4 linked regions of the Arabidopsis thaliana genome follow. The protein of the gene in region 1 interacts with the protein of each later gene in a pairwise test. Each region holds a gene or a part of one and is shown on either strand. Other genes may lie near its edges. The genes, in order: AT2G24020, AT5G09480, GIP2 and EXL2.

Region 1 (5,059 bases):
ACCGAACTTTCCTTTCTTGTCGGAACGATCAATGCCAGGTTTGTACTGTCTGTGCATCGTATTTTTTATCCATCCCCGACAGAGAACATTGTTATGATTCTGCACTTTTCGTATTTTGTTTGGTGATGCGATTGTCTATAGGAGTTGATTTGTTGAGACCTGTTTAGTTTCTGTAACGTAAATTTTGAGTGTTTGTTTTTTCATGTTTTGATTTCACGAAATTGAAATCTGTGTGAAAAATCTGAAGTTTATGAATCTTCTCATGTCGAAATGTGAAGTGATTATGAACCTTTTTCGTAGGACAACAAAGTGAGGATCAAGTTCGGGAAGCGATCAAACGAGAAATTGAGAAAGAACAAATCCGTCAAGAGATCATTATCGCAGAAGCAGCGAGAAAACGAGAGCTTATAGCTGAGGTTTTACAAGAGATGGCTATCGAGAGAGAAATGGCGATACGACGAGTTTCAGACACGGAGATGTCTCTAGAGGAAAAGCTAACTATGTGGATCAATCAAAGGAAGCTTCCAAATCAAAATCAGAATCAGTTCAACAACTTTTTCAGACAGAAGTATAGTTACATTGATTCTCTGATCAACACAGGCTCTTACAACAGTCTACTTACATCACCAATGATGCAATTGCCTCAACTTCAGCAAATGTCTGAAGCTACCGGAACATCAATGTTGGAGTCTAATAAAGAGAATTTGATTGTATTGGTGAGTTCTTTAAGTAATGGTAAACATAAATGATAGAGTATATATAAGCCTTTGTTTCATATGTGTTCTCTTTGATTTCTCTATTGCAGAATAGAGCTGATATTATAGGAGCTAAGCCTAAAGCAGACAGTGTTGGTACCATGCAATTGCCTAAACTTCAGCAAATGCCTGAGGCTACAGGAACATCAGTTTTGGAGTCTAACAAAGAGCAGTTTATTGTATTGGTAAGTGTTTTACTACGAGTGTGATATCTCATCTTTTCTATCCACGTACTTTCCTTACTTGCTTATAACAAATCCTGACCATATGTGTTCTCTTTGATTACTATTGCAGGCTAGAGCTGATCCTGTAGGAGAAAAGCGTAAAGCAGAGGATATTCAAACTGGTTTGAACGAAGATCTTCAAGTGAAAAGGCCGAAAGCAAAAGAATCAGAAGCAAAGGCGATGTCTTTGGAAACCGGAGAAATAGTCTCTTCGAAGGTTCCTTGTTCAGGGAAACTTGGCAGTGGAAAGAAAGCAGAAGGTAAGCTAAGAACTAACCAGAAGTTTTGGTGTGAGATTTGTAAAGTTGGGACCTATTGTCAAATAGTCATGAGGGATCATGAGTTAGGTAAAAAGCATAAGGCTGCTGTTACACAACAGAATGAGACACCTGAAGCTGCTTCAACCTCCTTATCCCCTGCTTCCGTTACAGCACCGCAACCAGAAGCCATTAGAGTATGTGAAAATGCTAATCCGCAGGGTCAAAAAGTAGATGAAATTGCGGCGAAAGAAACAACGGGAAAGAAGACAAAAGGTGAGAAGAAAAAGAAGGAAACGGTTTGGTGCAAAACTTGTAATATTCAGACGAATTCTGAGCAGACGATGAGGAATCATACGCTTGGGAAAAAACACATGGCTTTGCTTGAGAAACAGCAGAATAAACTCATTACAGTCCCAGTGAGATCTCTGAATGCTGATCCAGGACAGAAAGAATCAGTATCTCTAGCAATGGATGATACACAAGGTAAGGTTCATTGCTTGGAGAAGTCATAGAAGATTCTTTGTAACTTTGTTAGATTATTTTATATCAACTTTTTTTACCAAAAAAACCTTTGTTAGGTCATGACAATATACCATGAGGAATCAGAGATTGAATTCATGAATTTATTTTTATTTTTTCTTATGCAATGTGACAGTAGGAGATTTGCATGATGTTTTTTTTGTTGTGAGATTGAGAATCATGAGAATAATAACCAATGCCATTAGAGAGACCAGAATAAGTGTATAGATCATGATTGCATTTTGGAGTGTGTGTTGTCTTATGCTTTTATCATATGTTTTACAAACTTACAACTGTACAAGCAGAGTATGTTTGTTTGGACATGATACGATGATAAATGTCTTCTTTCAGGAGAGGCCCAAAATGGTTTGCCTAGAGGTATTTCAAATGTTTGGGGTGAGTCTCTCTATACATAGAGGGTATATAGACAACTCCACAATCAATCAATAGTTCTTCTCGCAATACAGCTCCACAAGACCACAACACATATGACCATGTCCCATACATAGAACCACGAAAGATGGTTCTATTGTAGCATGTTTTTTTTTTTTTTTGGTTTAATGAAGCATGTTACAATCTCTGATAAAGTTTCATCTATACTAGAAATTGAATTTTTCGAAAATCGAATCAATATCTGATGTAAGAACATTTTACGTTTGATCACTCAATTTCGTACTGAAAGTGTATAAACTTTAAAGTTGCGACTTCTTCACTAGAAAAGAATGGTACAAAAACAATCTAAGCTCAAAAAAAGAGTTAAAGTGACGTGGCGCAAAATCATTGGTTAAAAGCTTCAACAAACACAGAAGCTACGAACAAGTTGCCCGGAAAAAATTAGCTTCCGGTTTTATCTTCTCGAATTTCAGAAAAAAAGCCCTTCTCTAATATCTCTCTACTCGTACAACAATGGCGTCGATGGCTGCAACCACCAATTTCACCAAATCTATGCTCTTTCCATTCTCTCATGGTTAGTCTCTCCTAAATCCCTACTTCTATCTCTCGCTTAAGGTTTCGTGACACTGGATTTTGAGTCTTTATGTATCTGTCGTACATTAGGTTTCATCTGAATTTGCTTAATCTTTCGTAATTAGACTTTTCTATTCCATAATTGGAGGAATTGAAGCGTAATTTTGTATTTATAAGTGTTTTTGGGATTGAAATGGGCTTTAGTAATTTTTTGGTTTGAATAGTTTCAGGAAATGCGAGCTTGAATTCGCAGAGAAGAACATGGCCAAAGCAGTACAAGTCTAAAAATGGTTACAGGTCTCTTCGAGTGAATGGATTATTTGGAGGTGGAAACAAAGATAATAACAGTGAAGATGGACAATCAAAGGTTGGTACATTACATTGGTTTTTTCAAATATCAAACAGATTCTGCAATAGGTGAACATTTTAAGTTAGGCTTCATGTTGTAAAGATTCAAAGTTTATGATTTTGGAACTAATGAAGTTTGTGTGTGATCTTTCCTAGGCAGGAATATTTGGTAATATGCAGAATATGTATGAGACTGTGAAGAAAGCTCAAATGGTTGTTCAAGTGGAAGCTGTACGTGTTCAAAAAGAGTTAGCTGCGTAAGTCCGGCACATTTATCATACAAAATTTGAGGAAGTTTTCTTCTATGAGTAATGAGTTTTGCATGTTGGTTTTGTTCCAATTTCGCAGCGCAGAATTTGATGGTTATTGTGCAGGCGAGCTTGTCAAGGTCAGTTTAGAGCTTGTTTTGGCCTTAAGATAGATCAATGCACATAATAGATCAGTGAAGTATTAACTAACGTTTACTTGATGATGTAAGAACTGTGTTTTCTGATTTGTTAGTCTTTGGATGATTTGGCAAGAACTCCACTCTAGAATCTCAAAACTTTGTTTAGTCTTTATTGTTTCTGTTACAAAGTCTGATGACCTAAACCTTATGAATTTGTGTCAGGTTACGTTATCAGGTAACCAGCAACCAATCCGTACTGATATTACCGAGGCAGCAATGGAACTAGGTTCCGAAGTGAGTAACCATACGTACCTTGTTATGGAACAGTCAAAGCTAATTCATCAGTTTCTCTTGTTGATGTTGTGTGTTTTCCTTTGGCAGAAACTATCACAACTTGTCACAGAAGCATACAAGGACGCACACGCCAAGAGTGTGGTGGTATAGCAATTTGCAGACCATTTATCACAATGCAACTAAAGTATTTGTTTCTATCCATTTCTTCTAATTGAACTTTGTGAATTTTTTCACAGGCTATGAAAGAGAGAATGAGTGACCTTGCGCAGAGCTTAGGAATGCCACCGGGTCTCAGCGAAGGAATGAAGTAAGAAGCTGTTTTTGTTGTTTCATTTCAACTTTCAGGTATGAGAGGTTCGGCTTTTTTTGTTTGTTTGTATATCAGTCAGGCAGAAGCAAAGAGCTTTGTACTCTACTCTTATGGAATTATATATAAAAGATTTGAAACTTTTGGTTTTCTGCAATTTTATTCCCAAGGTATCAACACAATTGTTCTAGTATCAACATATATCTTCTTCGAATACAAGAATGCTTTTAGTGTCTTATGAAATCAAGTTGATTTGAAACATAAAAATTTCAAAAGAAAACACCGAGTTAACTCGGGTTTTGGAGGGAGCCTTCTATCTTATGTGTGTGACTAATAAGATCTTGGAAGCTCTTTGCCGGCCAAGAACGATCTTAAAAGAGTGAGAGCACGCTCGGGTTGCAACACCGGCACTTCGTGGCCCGCCCCTCTTATCGTCGCAAAGGTAAGCCCCTCATATACCTCTGTCCATCCTCCCACCTGACACCACCACCATGAGAAATCACTAGCTCTGCATAATAAGAATAGAACCACGAATTTGATGAAAATTACCTGCTTTTCGGAGTACCAAGGGTACCAGGGAGTTTTCACCGGAAGATTGAGTTTACTGAGGGCAAGTCGAGTCCCAGTCACTGGAACCACTGCGTCTGTATCGCCACTACATCAACAAAATGTGGTTAAAGGACACGAAAGGTACTTTACTTGCAGCTAGTTTCATGGTTTACCTAAAGACCCAGATCCTCAAACCAGCGGCAGTGAGTTCCTTGTATATCGGCAACATTGAAAACTCGGAATCTTTCCAGTTGTTATTCACAACCATATTGCACAATGTCCACTTATAAGGAATGGAGGTAAGATTAGCGTGCATAGCTCGTTGCACATCAGGACGGTTGTAATATATCTCAGCGTAGCTTTCGGTACAAGGGTCGTACTCGTATTCCTCTACCAAAAGCCGTCCATGCAGGAACTTGGTCTGGTTGGTTTGATGTACACATGAGGGT
Region 2 (4,295 bases), on another chromosome or scaffold:
GTTTCTTTTTCTTTTAGAACATTTTGTCTTTCTTTTTCTCTTCTCTCCTTTAGATTTTGTTCAAACTCTTGTTCATGCCTTCAAATAATACAGAGCTTTTTATTTATAATCTATTAAACTTTGCTCTGTTTATTGAGTATTACTTTAAATTTAGAAAATAATTCAGGATTTATAGATAGATATCTTTCAATTGCATTTTTAAACTGCATATATTAACTTCAAAAAAAAAAAAAAATCAATATCTGGATTGCTTAGTTTTTTTTCTTTGTATTGCAGATCGATGGTTGTATATTGAAAATAAAAAATAACACAATGACCCTATTTATAAATAGAAGAAAATTTCAATTTCTTTTTTGAAATTCACAAACTATATATCTATTTCTATAAGATATCTGTACATAATTTCCTTGTATTTCGAAGATAAATACAAAATGTATGACCAATTTTATCCTAAATCAGTTAATTTTACATTAAACTAATAATTAAGTTTTGATTTTTTGGGGGAAAATTGTGTATTTATATGTTTTAATTATCAGTTTTTATAAGGTAAGAAAAAAAGAAGTTTTTCTATTATAAGGGAAGAAAAATATTTAAATATTGATTCATATGTTATTTTAGAAAGACAATAATGTAATAATTGGTAAATATTTATTGACGTTTCCTTAAACAGAAACACTGTAGGATCTATAATACATCTGTGTATATATATATATATATATATATATATTGGGTGCCAAGTTATGTCTCTTGTCGTATCTCCATAGCAAAACCCTAGTTGCAGTCACTTTCCCGGCTTCTCAAACCAAGAACAATGGTTAGTTTCTTGATCTCCATCTCTTTAAACCTTAATTATTCGATTGTTAGATCCTTGAACCCATCATGGTCTTAAATTTCTCTGTCGAAATCCGTAGGCTGAAGTCGAACCAGATGTTTCCGCAGCTGCTCTTGCGAAGAAGAGAACGTTCAAAAAGTTTTCCTTCAAAGGAGTCGATCTCGATGCTCTTCTTGACATGCCCACTGATGATCTTGTCGAGCTCTTCCCTTCCCGTATAAGAAGAAGGTTTTGATCCCACCAAAAATTTTGGTAGATTATATAACTCTTGTTTTAAATGATTGGTTTTGTTTAATTATGTTGATTATTTTGTAGGATGAGTAGAGGATTAACGAGGAAGCCTATGGCTCTCATCAAGAAATTGCGCAAAGCGGTAAAACTCTAACTTTCCAATATAAATCTCTGTTGTTATTGTGTCATAGTTGTTATTAGTCTGTGATCTCCCAACATAACAATAATTTTAGTTAGGATCTGCCTTTTGATTGGTTGGCTTTGATTATTATAATAACACTAGTCTCTAATTTACTTTAAACCAGAAACTAGATGCACCAGCTGGTGAGAAGCCCGAAGTAGTGAGAACCCATCTAAGGAACATGGTGATTATGCCTGAAATGATTGGAAGCATCATTGGTGTGTACAATGGAAAGACTTTTAACCAAATCGAGATCAAACCGGAGATGATTGGACATTACCTTGCGGAATTCTCAATCACTTACAAACCCGTTAGGCACGGCAAGCCCGGTCATGGTGCTACACACTCCTCTAGGTTTATCCCTCTCAAGTGAAGCCATTTCAAGACTTCATTCTGCTTTTACAATTTCTTTTGTTTTGCTCATCTAAATCTATCTTCTTATCATCATGTCTCTGACACTCTAGTGTCTTTAAACTTTTCTTATTATCGTAAAAAAAATTCTTGGTGATTTTCTCTATAATACTTAATACCATTATGAGTTTGGACTTGAGTTAGTCTTTAATTTTTTTTTTTTTTTATCTCAGTCTTATTTTTTATTTTATTTTATAAGTCTTAAAATTATTTGATTTTGATCCTTATATATTTTAATAATCTACATAATGCGTAAAAATACACTTTTCACTTGAAACGGTTACAAGATAAAATAATAAAATCATATGTAAATGTATTAATAATGAATGTTCACAGGTAAAGAAGGGGTGATGCATATGAGACGTAAAATACAATATAGGTATTGCTAACTTTAAGATTTCTTGTAATGTTTAGTATCAATAGCTTTAAAACAAGTATATATATTAGGTTCGAAAGTAAACTTAAAAGGGGTTATACAACTAAGACGTATAATGAAATATAGGTGAGTTTGTTGAAGACTAACATCACATTCTCACAATCGTGCAGTGAGATCTTCTCACCAAATTTTTTTGACTCTTATGAATCTACATTCTAAGATCTCTCTCATCTCAATATTATTTAAGAAACCATTCTGTAAACAATATATAGCAAAACACAAACTCTCTATACTCACAACATTGTTTAACTCATCTTTCTAAGTTGGTTTCGATTCAAGAATATCACAATGACTAATGTTCGCCTTCCTATTCTCGTCTCCTCGGTCTTGTTCCTTGTCTTTATTTCATCGTCCCTCTTGTTCCCTACACCTAGTTTTGCTGCTAGAGTAAGTCATTCTCTGGTGCAAGAAGAGGTCAAAAAGGTTCCAGAATACACAGAACCTGAGGAGCCGGAAGTTCCAGAAGAGCCGGAGCTGCCCTCACCGGAGGAGCCTGAGATTCCAGAAGAGCCTGAGATTCCAGAAGAGCCTGAGGTTCCTGGAGAACCCGAAGTTCCTGAAGAGCCCGAAGAACCAGAAGAGCCAGAAGGGTCAACATTTGAATTTCCATCATGGTTTCCGAGCTTTCCTATTCCCGGTGTTAATGGCGGTTTGCCAAAGACTGAAAAGACAAAACCTACATCAACAGTTGAAGAGGTTAACGTTTCTAACAAGAAGCCATAGATCAATGGGTAAAGAACGTCAAATGATTATATAAACTATATATGCAATTATAGTTTTGGTTTGTGTTTGGTTAAAGATGAGAGATTACATATGTATTACAGTATTAGAGTCCTCACCATGTCATGATTGAGTCTCTAAACGCTCCTGATATAATCTCGTACTAATTCTCTCTTGTAATATGTATATCTCTTGTGGTACAAAAAATATATATATAACTCTTAAGTAAATCATGTAATGTAAGATATTTAATTAAAGATATAATGTGTCAATTGTCGGTGTATATGACGTTCGTCTTAATGAAACATCAAATTTTATGAGTAGATGTTAGATATAGAACATTGGTTTCATTGACCAATATTGGTTTATTCCTCTAGCTTCAATTATTCTTTTTCTGTAATGCCAAGGTGTGCATCAAGACAAAACAAGAAACATTGTGCTAAAAGCTGGAACCCGTAATTCAGGACTAGTACACAAACACAACTACTCGTTGCATTATTTTCTTCTCAAGTAGTTTGTCTTCTTCCATTCCAACTTGTTCAATTTCATTTCTTCTTCTCCAAACATTTTATTACAAAAGATCTATTATCTCCCAAACTCTTCTTTTCTTTCAATTCCCATTCCTCAAAACATTCTCTCCTTACAATAAAATCCTCCGGTAATCGTTTCAATGGGCTTCAAACCATTTCTTGAAGGTGGCATCGCCGCAATCATCGCCGGAGCTCTGACTCACCCATTAGACCTCATCAAAGTCCGTATGCAGCTTCAAGGCGAACATTCTTTCTCGCTCGACCAAAACCCTAACCCTAATCTTAGCCTTGATCATAATCTTCCCGTGAAACCTTACCGACCCGTTTTCGCTCTTGACTCTCTCATCGGCAGCATTTCCTTATTACCCTTACACATTCACGCGCCGTCTTCTTCCACGCGCTCCGTCATGACCCCTTTCGCCGTAGGGGCACACATTGTCAAAACCGAAGGACCCGCCGCTCTCTTCTCCGGCGTCTCCGCCACCATCCTCCGTCAGATGCTTTACTCTGCCACCCGTATGGGTATATACGACTTTCTTAAACGAAGGTGGACTGATCAACTCACCGGTAATAATACTAAACTCGATCGGCAACAATATTACTCAAAAAATAATTTTGGTTTTTATTCGGTTTGGTTTGGTTTGATTACACTAAAAGTCGTTTACAGTTCTCGGTTATTGGTTTTAAATAAGAAAACCAATGGATTTATAAACAAATGCTGGTTCGGTTTCGATCTTAAACAGTTTCGGTTTGTTTGGTTCGAATTTTTTCCATATTATTACACAAAAGATCAAATAAATTAAACGTAAACGATAATTCCAAACAGGTAACTTCCCATTGGTAACCAAGATCACAGCTGGACTCATCGCAGGAGCCGTTGGATCAGTCGTCGGGAATCCTGCTGACGTGGCGATGGTGAGAATGCAAGCCGACGGAAGCTTGCCGTTAAACCGT
Region 3 (4,441 bases), on another chromosome or scaffold:
ATATTTTTGTTTATACCGCCACAAAATTATAAATCTGTATATTTTATACATAAAAGAGTCTGCCACACACAAGTATCCAAAGAATATTGGTCCGGATTTGCTGGATCGAGATTAAAGGAATAATAAAAGGTGATAAATCGTCGAAAATATTTGGTGCGTCACATAACTGATTAGTCGTCCAAATTTGAGCGAAAATTGAAGTTTGGGCTAGAATGGGCTGGGCCTGTATGTGCGCTGTTCCATAAACGACAATGAAAACGGACAGGTCATCTCGGGCCGATCCGGTCTGATCAGTTATGAAAACCGGAAACGAAGAAGAGCGGTTAATCTGTTAACAGATTAAAAAAAAAAACTATTGGCTCTTGATTCAAATCCCTAATCCTCTGATAAACCCTAGTCTTGAGGCGAATCCCATGAGACGATTTCTGCAGAGAGTTCCCAGTTTACTGGCTCGAAATATCCTTCACTCACCCGCAAATTTCCGCCATTTGAGAATCAACAACCCTCGTGTTGTTGTTCCTCTCTTCGAACGAGCTATTTCCCGGTTCGTCTTCTTCTCTTCCGAGTCCGACTCGTCGCGTGGTTTCAGAACTGAAGAGGTTCTTTCTAAAGAAGGTGACATTTCTTCAACTCAACTTCTTTTGTTTGGTTCTCAAGAAAATGTACAGTTTTGAATGAAAAGGAAGAGAATTTTGCAATGACAGAGTTAGCTGATCAGCTCATAATTTTTCATGTAAAGATTATAATTTTGCTTACTTTCTTAATCCAATTGGTATTTCAGAGCTGAAAAAAAGAATTCAAAGCTTTTTGGATGATGGAAATGAGGATGCTATACCTGATTTATTTGAGGCATTGATGATTAGGAAGTTATCAGGGAAGCACGATGATAGTGATGATGAAGTGATGGATGTGGTGCGTAAGTATCCAGTTAACGATGCACATAAGGTTGACGATATTGACTCTGATATTGAGAGTGATGGCCATGGTGATTCGTCTGATTCAGATATTGAGAGTGATGACTTGAGAGATGGTGATTCGTCTGATTCCGATGTAGAGTTTGATGGTTTCAATGATGTTGGCTTGTCTGATGTCAATATTAAGACTGATGCCCTGAAAGCTAATCGCTCGTCTTATTCTTACTCTGAAAGTGATTAACACATGGTAAGTTTTGGATTTCGCACCATACGGTACTCGCAAAGAGAACATTTTCTTCTGTATTTTACAGTCTCTTATTTTTTTGTCACATTTTGCATTTTCTACTTGTATAACTTGATTAAATGGATATACAAATTATTTAGTACTTTAGAGATTTTCTAACACTGTGCTTGTTAGAGACTATTTAATCTTTAAGCGTGTGATTGCTTGCTTAATCATGTGTCTTGGGCTTTGTTTATCCTATTCATTATGTGCTAAGTATGAAAACCTTGGTGGCTGATACCACATGGAGAATATGGATTCTAGAAAAGTGTCTGAGTAAACTTAATATATACTGCAGCTTATCTTCTTTTATTCTTTCATGGCCTGATATATGTTTAACATTGTGATCAATGAACTCTAATTGGTCTTGGTTTTGGGCCACAGACTTATGCACTACATTGAAGATTTTGAAAGGAAGCAACTGCCTAGTGAATGGAAACAGATCAGTTTTTGGTCCATGTTGGCTGTAAGTTCTGCCTTTTGAATATAATTAGAAATTTAAGTCATATTTTGTGCTTAGTACAATAGTAATGAAGTAAAATATATAATTATGAAGGTGTTCTCATTACTTTGTTTAAGTGTCAACAAATTCATATACCTTCACTGGGGGTAGCCGAAAGCTGACATCTATTTTGGTTACACGTGGTTTCATAACTTCTCCAAAATGGTGCCTAGGTGTTTTTATGCTTTGTCCGAGCCTTTTAGAAAAAAGTTAATCTCTTTTAGACATATCGAGATCTCCTGCAACCACAAACTCTCGTTTGAGTAACGTGACTCACTCAAAGACATTTTCTTCTATAAATAGAACGAGAGAAACCCACTTTAAACTCCAAACCAAATATCTTCTTCTTCTTTCTATAACTTAGTGAGACAATGAAGGGTTCTTGCACAAAACCAGTGTTTTTCACTTGTACAATCCTTCTCATTTTAATTGTTGCCCAAGAAAACAGAGTCGCTGCAGTAGATCCATGTAATCCTGCGCAGCTGAGTCCATGCTTGGAGACCATAATGAAAGGGTCTGAGCCATCGGATCTGTGTTGCAGCAAGGTGAAGGAGCAACAGCATTGTATCTGCCAGTACTTGAAGAACCCTAACTTCAAATCTTTCCTTAACTCCCCAAACGCCAAAATAATCGCCACTGATTGTCATTGTCCGTATCCGAAATGCTAGTCCCAGTATTTCGTTCTAGTTTTCGATGTTCTGTTTCTTGCTTTCAAGACCAAAAAAGGTGTTCTGTTCTGTTCGCTCATCATCGATGGTTTTTCTACTTCAAGTTTCTTACTTTTGAGTTTGGCTTTCCATTAATGTGTTTGTCGTCAAGGAATAAATCTTGATCATCACATATTCACATTGATATGTTTTTAAGAAATTTCGGATAATTCGACTAACATAAGCTACTTAAAAGTTAAAAGTTCCAATTTCAAGGATATCACTACAAAATAAGTCTCTAAATTTGGATGCAATTTTGTCAATTTTGGCCGAATTAATCATAACAAGGTCTTGAATCCCTTGATTCCGACAAAAAAGAATCCCTTGATTAAAACTAGTTCAGAGACTTCGATTGTATTAAAACCGGCGGATTTTATTTAACCGACCGATTTGATATGAACCAGTAAATATACTCTGAACCGGCCAAAGGTTTATTTTCTTAAAAAAAACAACCCTAGATTTCTAAATTCTAATTGTTGGCCCATTTTCGCCTCTTCTTCTTCGATCACGAGATCGAGAATCGTTTCTCTCAATTATCTCAAGCTCTAAGATCTCACTTCTTCTCTCTCAAACTCGACGCCGTTCGTTTTCTCCGTCGATTAATCGGTTCGTTTTGTTCCTTAACCTTTTTCCGATCTAATGTATCTCTTGATCCGTCGGCAAGTCTCCGATTTCCACTTTAAGGGTTTCCATTCTCTGTACATCCATGGAGATCCGTACAAGAATAGAGTAGATATTCATATGTAAATTGAATCGTTTCCGAAATTGATATTTTTTTGTTCTGGATGATGTTTGGTGGTTTCAGAGTATTATGAATCAGGAAGCAGCTGAAACAGCGAGAGAGTCACTGGAGCTGGTGTTTCGGATGTCGAACATCTTGGAGACAGGTCTTGATCGACATACTTTGTCTGTTCTTATAGCTCTTTGCGATATTGGTCTTAACCCTGAGGCTCTCGCTACTCTCGTCAAGGAGCTTCGTAGGGATTCTGCTACAACAACAACTACGGTTGATTAAGAAGATGCCTAATCAAATAGTATCATTCATGCTTGTTTTCTAAGTTTCAATTTCATTATGCTATTGATGTGTAAATTAGGGTTGGTAAGGTAATTGAATAGAGAGTTTCAGAGACAAATTGGTAATAAGTATTTGAGTCATCCCCACTCAATCCTTTTGAGAGGCTTTCTTTAAGTAAATCACAAAGTTACCCTCATATTCTTGATTTCTTTTTTTAGTCAATACTTTCATCAAGTACGTACATATACAGCGGAATCAATTTTTCTAAAACGTAAAAACGTAAAAATTTGTTGAACGTGAATGGTAAAAACAACGTTTTCATACAACTGTGAAAACGTGAACAAGTGGTATACCATCCAACTAAAAATATAACTCTAAACTTCACACTTTTATGTACAATCATGATCAGCAGATCTAGAATACATGTTTTACCATCATGTACGTAGTAGTAGTTTAAAGTTTAAACCCTTATTTAGAAAGAGTCCAATCTCGGCCAAGGCACTATGGCGTGTCTTCCAATACTAACGTAGATGAGGATTTAGAAAGGGTTTATATGATTTTGAGACGAAGATCCGGTGAAACATATATTGAATTCCGCTGGAGTCGTTATATACCCTTCGTTTACTATCTCCAAATTGTTTGTAGATCTCTCTTGAACATATCCGTTTTGTTGATATGATTTATCGATTTCGATGTTTTGGTAGTGGCTCGCAGCATATTGTTGGTCCAAATCATCACCTATATAATCAAAATTACATTGTTGTAACATACTATATAATCAACGATGTTTCGCAATTATAGAAAAACTGAAATGGTGTTTATGTTGACACTATTTTAAAGTAATACCTTGTGTCAAAAGAGCAGCCTCGTTCGCTGTTCGTTCGCCCACTTCTAAAAAGTTCCCCTTTGAGTAAGCATCTCGAACTAAGTTCTTAACGTAGGGCTGCAACAAAACATTACCATAGATGAATTAAAAAAATAAATACAGTTTCTAACTAATAAACAATCATTGAGCTATCA
Region 4 (4,934 bases), on another chromosome or scaffold:
TGGACATTCTTTTTAGAGCAAGTTTATCGTAAGCTAAGTCCACCATTGGCGATGTTCCTAAAATCGAAAATTACTTCTTCTTTTTTTTTTCAATTCGACGTACGCATAGTTAACCCCGACGCTCGAACTCAATATTGTGTGTTTCAAATGTTAACAAGTCAAGTATAACGATATATAAGGTTTTTACTCGACCTAATTATACGAAATTGTTTTTACGTTCAAAGCGCAATTATATTTTTAAAGAATCAAGAGCCAAGCTAAATGATGATCAAAGTGTGTGGTTCTATCCTACCAAAAGTGACCGGTGCATCCATCCAAGTATATACACGACAAAGTAAACTCATGTGTCACTCTTCAAAGTAAACTCATCCAAGTAACAATATTGTAACTTTTGCTATTCATTTATCACATAACTAGAGTAGAAAAATTTCACGTGAGAAGATATATTTTGTAGAGGCAGAGAGAGAGCTAAAGTGGATTACTACGAATCCTATTATGCTATTACTACGGAGTACGTCTGACACGTGACTTATCCTTCTTTTAAGTTTTAATAAACAGTACTTGTATATGGGCCTCACATCACATACCCTCGTTTGATTTTCTATTTTTTTTATTTTTATTTTTAGTTATGTGAGCTCCTCCACTATAGAAGAAAACATAAAAATCTTCTTTATGCCAAAAAAGATGGTAATACAAAATAAAACGTGTTTTTTTTTCTTAGTGTGGAATATATACTTTTCGTATAACTTTTTTGTTAAATCAAACCAAAAAGAGTTTTTCAAAATAAAGCAAGAGTGGACCCTGAAGATGTAAAAGGCAATAATGGACTGTAAGAGCGTGGTTCGTACGCTACGTCGAGGCGTATCTTGCTTACTACACGACTGAACTAACTACTCGAGTGCACCCGTATATTTATATACATACACCTTAAGCTATAAGTATATAACTATACATAAATACACACACTGTTCTAGAGTAAAATACGTATGAATCTGTGGTCCCCACGGAGACCTAAAGGGACCTCCCCCAAGTAAAGTTGATTATGGCACACACACGGTATCATCAACCTCTCTGTGTACCTTTCTTAAAATCAGTGGCGCCTCTATGGAAGGAAAGGAAGGAACCTTCCCTAAATAATCCCAAATCTCTTTAATTCATTTCTTAATATATAGAATTCTTTTTTTTGGTATCAGAACCGTATTATTAGAACGAGTAATGGACTTTTCTTCTATTATATGGTCAAACAATTACTGCTCAATGTATTTGCGTATAGAGCATGTCCAATACCATGCCTCATGATGTGAGATTGCGAGGCGGAGTCAGAGAACGAGTTAAAGTGACGACGTTTTTTTTGTTTTTTTTGGGCATAGTGTAAAGTGATATTAAAATTTCATGGTTGGCAGGTGACTGAAAATAAAAATGTGTATAGGATGTGTTTATATGCTAGACGGAAAAATAGTTACTCAACTAATACAGATCTTTATAAAGAGTATATAAGTCTATGGTTAATCATGAATGGCAATATATAAGAGTAGATGAGATTTATGTTTATATTGAAACAAGGGAAAGATATGTGTAATTGAAACAATGGCAAAATATATAGTCAAATCAAACTGGTTTCTGATAATATATGTGTTGAATCAATGTATATCTTGGTATTCAAAACCAAAACAACTACAACCAATTTCTTTAAAAAACCAGTTGATCTAATAACTACATTTTAATACTAGTAGCTATTAGCTGAATTTCATAATCAATTTCTTGCATTAAAATTTAAAGTGGGTTTTGCATTTAAACTTACTCGGTTTGTATTAATAGACTTTCAAAGATTAAAAGAAAACTACTGCATTCAGAGAATAAAGCTATCTTACTAAACACTACTTTTAAAGTTTCTTTTTTCACTTATTAATCTTCTTTTACAAATGGATCTGTCTCTCTGCATGGCAAAATATCTTACACTAATTTTATTTTCTTTGTTTGATAACAAATTTATCGGCTAAGCATCACTTAAATTTAATACACGTTATGAAGACTTAAACCACGTCACACTATAAGAACCTTACAGGCTGTCAAACACCCTTCCCTACCCACTCACATCTCTCCACGTGGCAATCTTTGATATTGACACCTTAGCCACTACAGCTGTCACACTCCTCTCTCGGTTTCAAAACAACATCTCTGGTATAAATACCTCTGTATATCTTTATAAACCCCAAATCAAAACCTCTCCTATATCTCTTCAATCTGATATAACTACCCTTCTCAATGGCTTCTAATTACCGTTTTGCCATCTTCCTCACTCTCTTTTTCGCCACCGCTGGTTTCTCCGCCGCCGCGTTGGTCGAGGAGCAGCCGCTTGTTATGAAATACCACAACGGAGTTCTGTTGAAAGGTAACATCACAGTCAATCTCGTATGGTACGGGAAATTCACACCGATCCAACGGTCCGTAATCGTCGATTTCATCCACTCGCTAAACTCCAAAGACGTTGCATCTTCCGCCGCAGTTCCTTCCGTTGCTTCGTGGTGGAAGACGACGGAGAAATACAAAGGTGGCTCTTCAACACTCGTCGTCGGGAAACAGCTTCTACTCGAGAACTATCCTCTCGGAAAATCTCTCAAAAATCCTTACCTCCGTGCTTTATCCACCAAACTTAACGGCGGTCTCCGTTCCATAACCGTCGTTCTAACGGCGAAAGATGTTACCGTCGAAAGATTCTGTATGAGCCGGTGCGGGACTCACGGATCCTCCGGTTCGAATCCCCGTCGCGCAGCTAACGGCGCGGCTTACGTATGGGTCGGGAACTCCGAGACGCAGTGCCCTGGATATTGCGCGTGGCCGTTTCACCAGCCGATTTACGGACCACAAACGCCGCCGTTAGTAGCGCCTAACGGTGACGTTGGAGTTGACGGAATGATTATAAACCTTGCCACACTTCTAGCTAACACCGTGACGAATCCGTTTAATAACGGATATTACCAAGGCCCACCAACTGCACCGCTTGAAGCTGTGTCTGCTTGTCCTGGTATATTCGGGTCAGGTTCTTATCCGGGTTACGCGGGTCGGGTACTTGTTGACAAAACAACCGGGTCTAGTTACAACGCTCGTGGACTCGCCGGTAGGAAATATCTATTGCCGGCGATGTGGGATCCGCAGAGTTCGACGTGCAAGACTCTGGTTTGATCCAAGGGATGTGAGTAAGACACGTGGCATAGTAGTGAGAGCGATGACGAGATCTAGACGGCATGTGTAGTCAAAATCAAGTTGCACGCGAGCGTGTGTATAAAAAAATCTTTCGGGTTTGGGTCTCGGGTTTGGATTGTGGATAGGGCTCTCTCTTTGCTTTTTGTCGTTTTGTAATGACGTGTAAAAACTGTACTCGGAAATGTGAAGAATGCATATAAAATAATAAAAAATCATTTTGTTTCTACTTTATCAAATTTAATAATGCATTCGGTTTTGCAGCAAGAATGATCAAAGCTTGTATTAGTACTAATTAATTTATTTAAAGGTATCTGACCTTTTTAAAAAATGTTAGTGGGTATAGAGGATAATAATGTTATTTGTTGTATTTAATTTTGTAATAAAATTGATAACTAAAGAAAGGAAGATGTGTTGGGGCCTAGGAGACCAAATTGATTGCTTTGTAAGTACTCGTTTCATATTATTAGTAACTTTTGAATTTTTTTATGCATGATAATATGTTATCTGTAACTACAAATCTATCCTTAACTGTTTTAATGGCGACTAAAGTTTGTTCTCTTTGAACTAAACAAATCTATCTTTATTTGTTAGGTAACAACAAATAACTAAACATTCAAATTTGGAAACTTCCGAATTCTTAAAGCAATCAAAATACCTCAAAATGGGGGTAATATTTATTATTGTCAGGTGAAAAAGTAATCTAGTGAATTTAATCACCGAAATTCCTACAAATTTTAGTAATTTAGGTATTAAGTATTTTCTGAAAATGGTCAGTGGGGTTGGTGAAGAAGTTCTTCTCCCTTGCCTCCGTTCTTTATGCCAAAGAAAACTTTGAAACATTTAAGTATCGAAAAGGCTCATCTAGATTCAATCAATCATTTATATGCCTTTTATTTTATTTATCAGTATGTAGCTTATATATACTGATTTTGATCATGACATAATTTATCATGCATTCTGTATAATAATAAACCTGATTAAGTTGTAGTGGATCCGGACTTTCGGCTATATGTGGAAATAAATAAGCTAGTGACGAATTGAGGATAATGCTAAATAAAATACACTTTGTTATATCTTTTAGGGTTACGACACATATATAATAGATTTTAAATAAAATTCGTGGCTGTGTGTATTAATGATTAGAAAATTATGTAAGCATACACTTTTTACAAGGATGTTTTGTGTAAATTTGAAATTTCCAAATTCTTATGGAATATATTAATTTATATCCAAATGAAAATTTATTTTGATCATAAATTTTAAAGTACCTGAAATAGTTCATGTTGTCTCTATGTATTTTGGAAAAAGTACAAGGTTATTCGTATATTTAAAAACTTAATAACCGAAAAATTGGCTCACCTATATGATTGAATTCAACATGAAAATTAACAAAGGCTTTTGTTTGCTTCGGGGGTGAAAGAAAGCCTTTCTAGTTAGTTTCTATTCAACTTCAATGTTGGCCAAAAGAAGGAGGTATGCAGCAATAGGTATATACGCCAGCTTATCTGCATAAAAGCTGTATACCTTATCTGTATTGGGCTTCTAATTATCTGATCAAATATGGCCACTAGAACAGACGTAGTGACCAAAATTATAATTGGGCTTATGGGCTTTGATTACTTGAACCCAATCTATAAAAGTTATTAGCCCAAATTAAAACTTGACCCGAAGTTTAAGAACCGACTCCCCCACAATTGGTCGGTTTCAATAACTCTCCAAATCCTAAAATA

What was found.
Region 2: the proteins of AT2G24020 (region 1) and AT5G09480 interact in a two-hybrid assay, tested with the Arabidopsis thaliana proteins (one large-scale study listed by BioGRID).
Region 3: the proteins of AT2G24020 (region 1) and GIP2 interact in a two-hybrid assay, tested with the Arabidopsis thaliana proteins (one large-scale study listed by BioGRID).
Region 4: the proteins of AT2G24020 (region 1) and EXL2 interact in a two-hybrid assay, tested with the Arabidopsis thaliana proteins (one large-scale study listed by BioGRID).

Annotation. Positions count from the first base shown.
Region 1 is NC_003071.7:10,216,875-10,221,933, reverse strand, and holds AT2G24020 (Putative BCR, YbaB family COG0718), read left to right. Parts: upstream 1-2,465; 5' UTR 2,466-2,664; coding exon 2,665-2,725; intron 2,726-2,948; coding exon 2,949-3,091; intron 3,092-3,228; coding exon 3,229-3,329; intron 3,330-3,420; coding exon 3,421-3,460; intron 3,461-3,682; coding exon 3,683-3,754; intron 3,755-3,841; coding exon 3,842-3,898; intron 3,899-3,990; coding exon 3,991-4,065; 3' UTR 4,066-4,233; downstream 4,234-5,059. Other genes in the region: AT2G24030 (zinc ion binding / nucleic acid binding protein), read left to right, coding at 1-38, 301-716, 806-940, 1,050-1,751; scpl23 (serine carboxypeptidase-like 23), read right to left, coding at 4,392-4,538, 4,611-4,716, 4,784-5,059. UniProt on the Arabidopsis thaliana protein: Participates with ALB4 in thylakoid protein targeting. May function with specific subset of thylakoidal proteins. Binds to DNA and alters its conformation. May be involved in regulation of gene expression, nucleoid organization and DNA protection.
Region 2 is NC_003076.8:2,949,700-2,953,994, reverse strand, and holds AT5G09480 (hydroxyproline-rich glycoprotein family protein), read left to right. Parts: upstream 1-2,293; 5' UTR 2,294-2,379; coding exon 2,380-2,814; 3' UTR 2,815-3,133; downstream 3,134-4,295. Other genes in the region: AT5G09490 (Ribosomal protein S19 family protein), read left to right, coding at 812-814, 912-1,060, 1,148-1,205, 1,369-1,617; DIC3 (dicarboxylate carrier 3), read left to right, coding at 3,482-3,908, 4,168-4,295.
Region 3 is NC_003070.9:27,741,802-27,746,242, forward strand, and holds GIP2 (mitotic-spindle organizing 1B-like protein (DUF3743)), read left to right. Parts: upstream 1-2,847; 5' UTR 2,848-3,012; exon of another isoform or gene 3,013-3,211; 5' UTR 3,212-3,217; coding exon 3,218-3,421; 3' UTR 3,422-3,628; downstream 3,629-4,441. Other genes in the region: AT1G73770 (coiled-coil protein), read left to right, coding at 414-615, 782-1,155; AT1G73780 (Bifunctional inhibitor/lipid-transfer protein/seed storage 2S albumin superfamily protein), read left to right, coding at 2,071-2,367; SARD1 (Calmodulin binding protein-like protein), read right to left, coding at 3,960-4,159, 4,268-4,364. UniProt on the Arabidopsis thaliana protein: Required for gamma-tubulin complex recruitment to the microtubule organizing centers (MTOCs). During mitosis, modulates gamma-tubulin complex localization, spindle stability and chromosomal segregation. Necessary for gametophyte development and embryogenesis.
Region 4 is NC_003076.8:25,701,715-25,706,648, forward strand, and holds EXL2 (EXORDIUM like 2), read left to right. Parts: upstream 1-1,934; 5' UTR 1,935-2,265; coding exon 2,266-3,183; 3' UTR 3,184-3,625; downstream 3,626-4,934. UniProt on the Arabidopsis thaliana protein: May play a role in a brassinosteroid-dependent regulation of growth and development.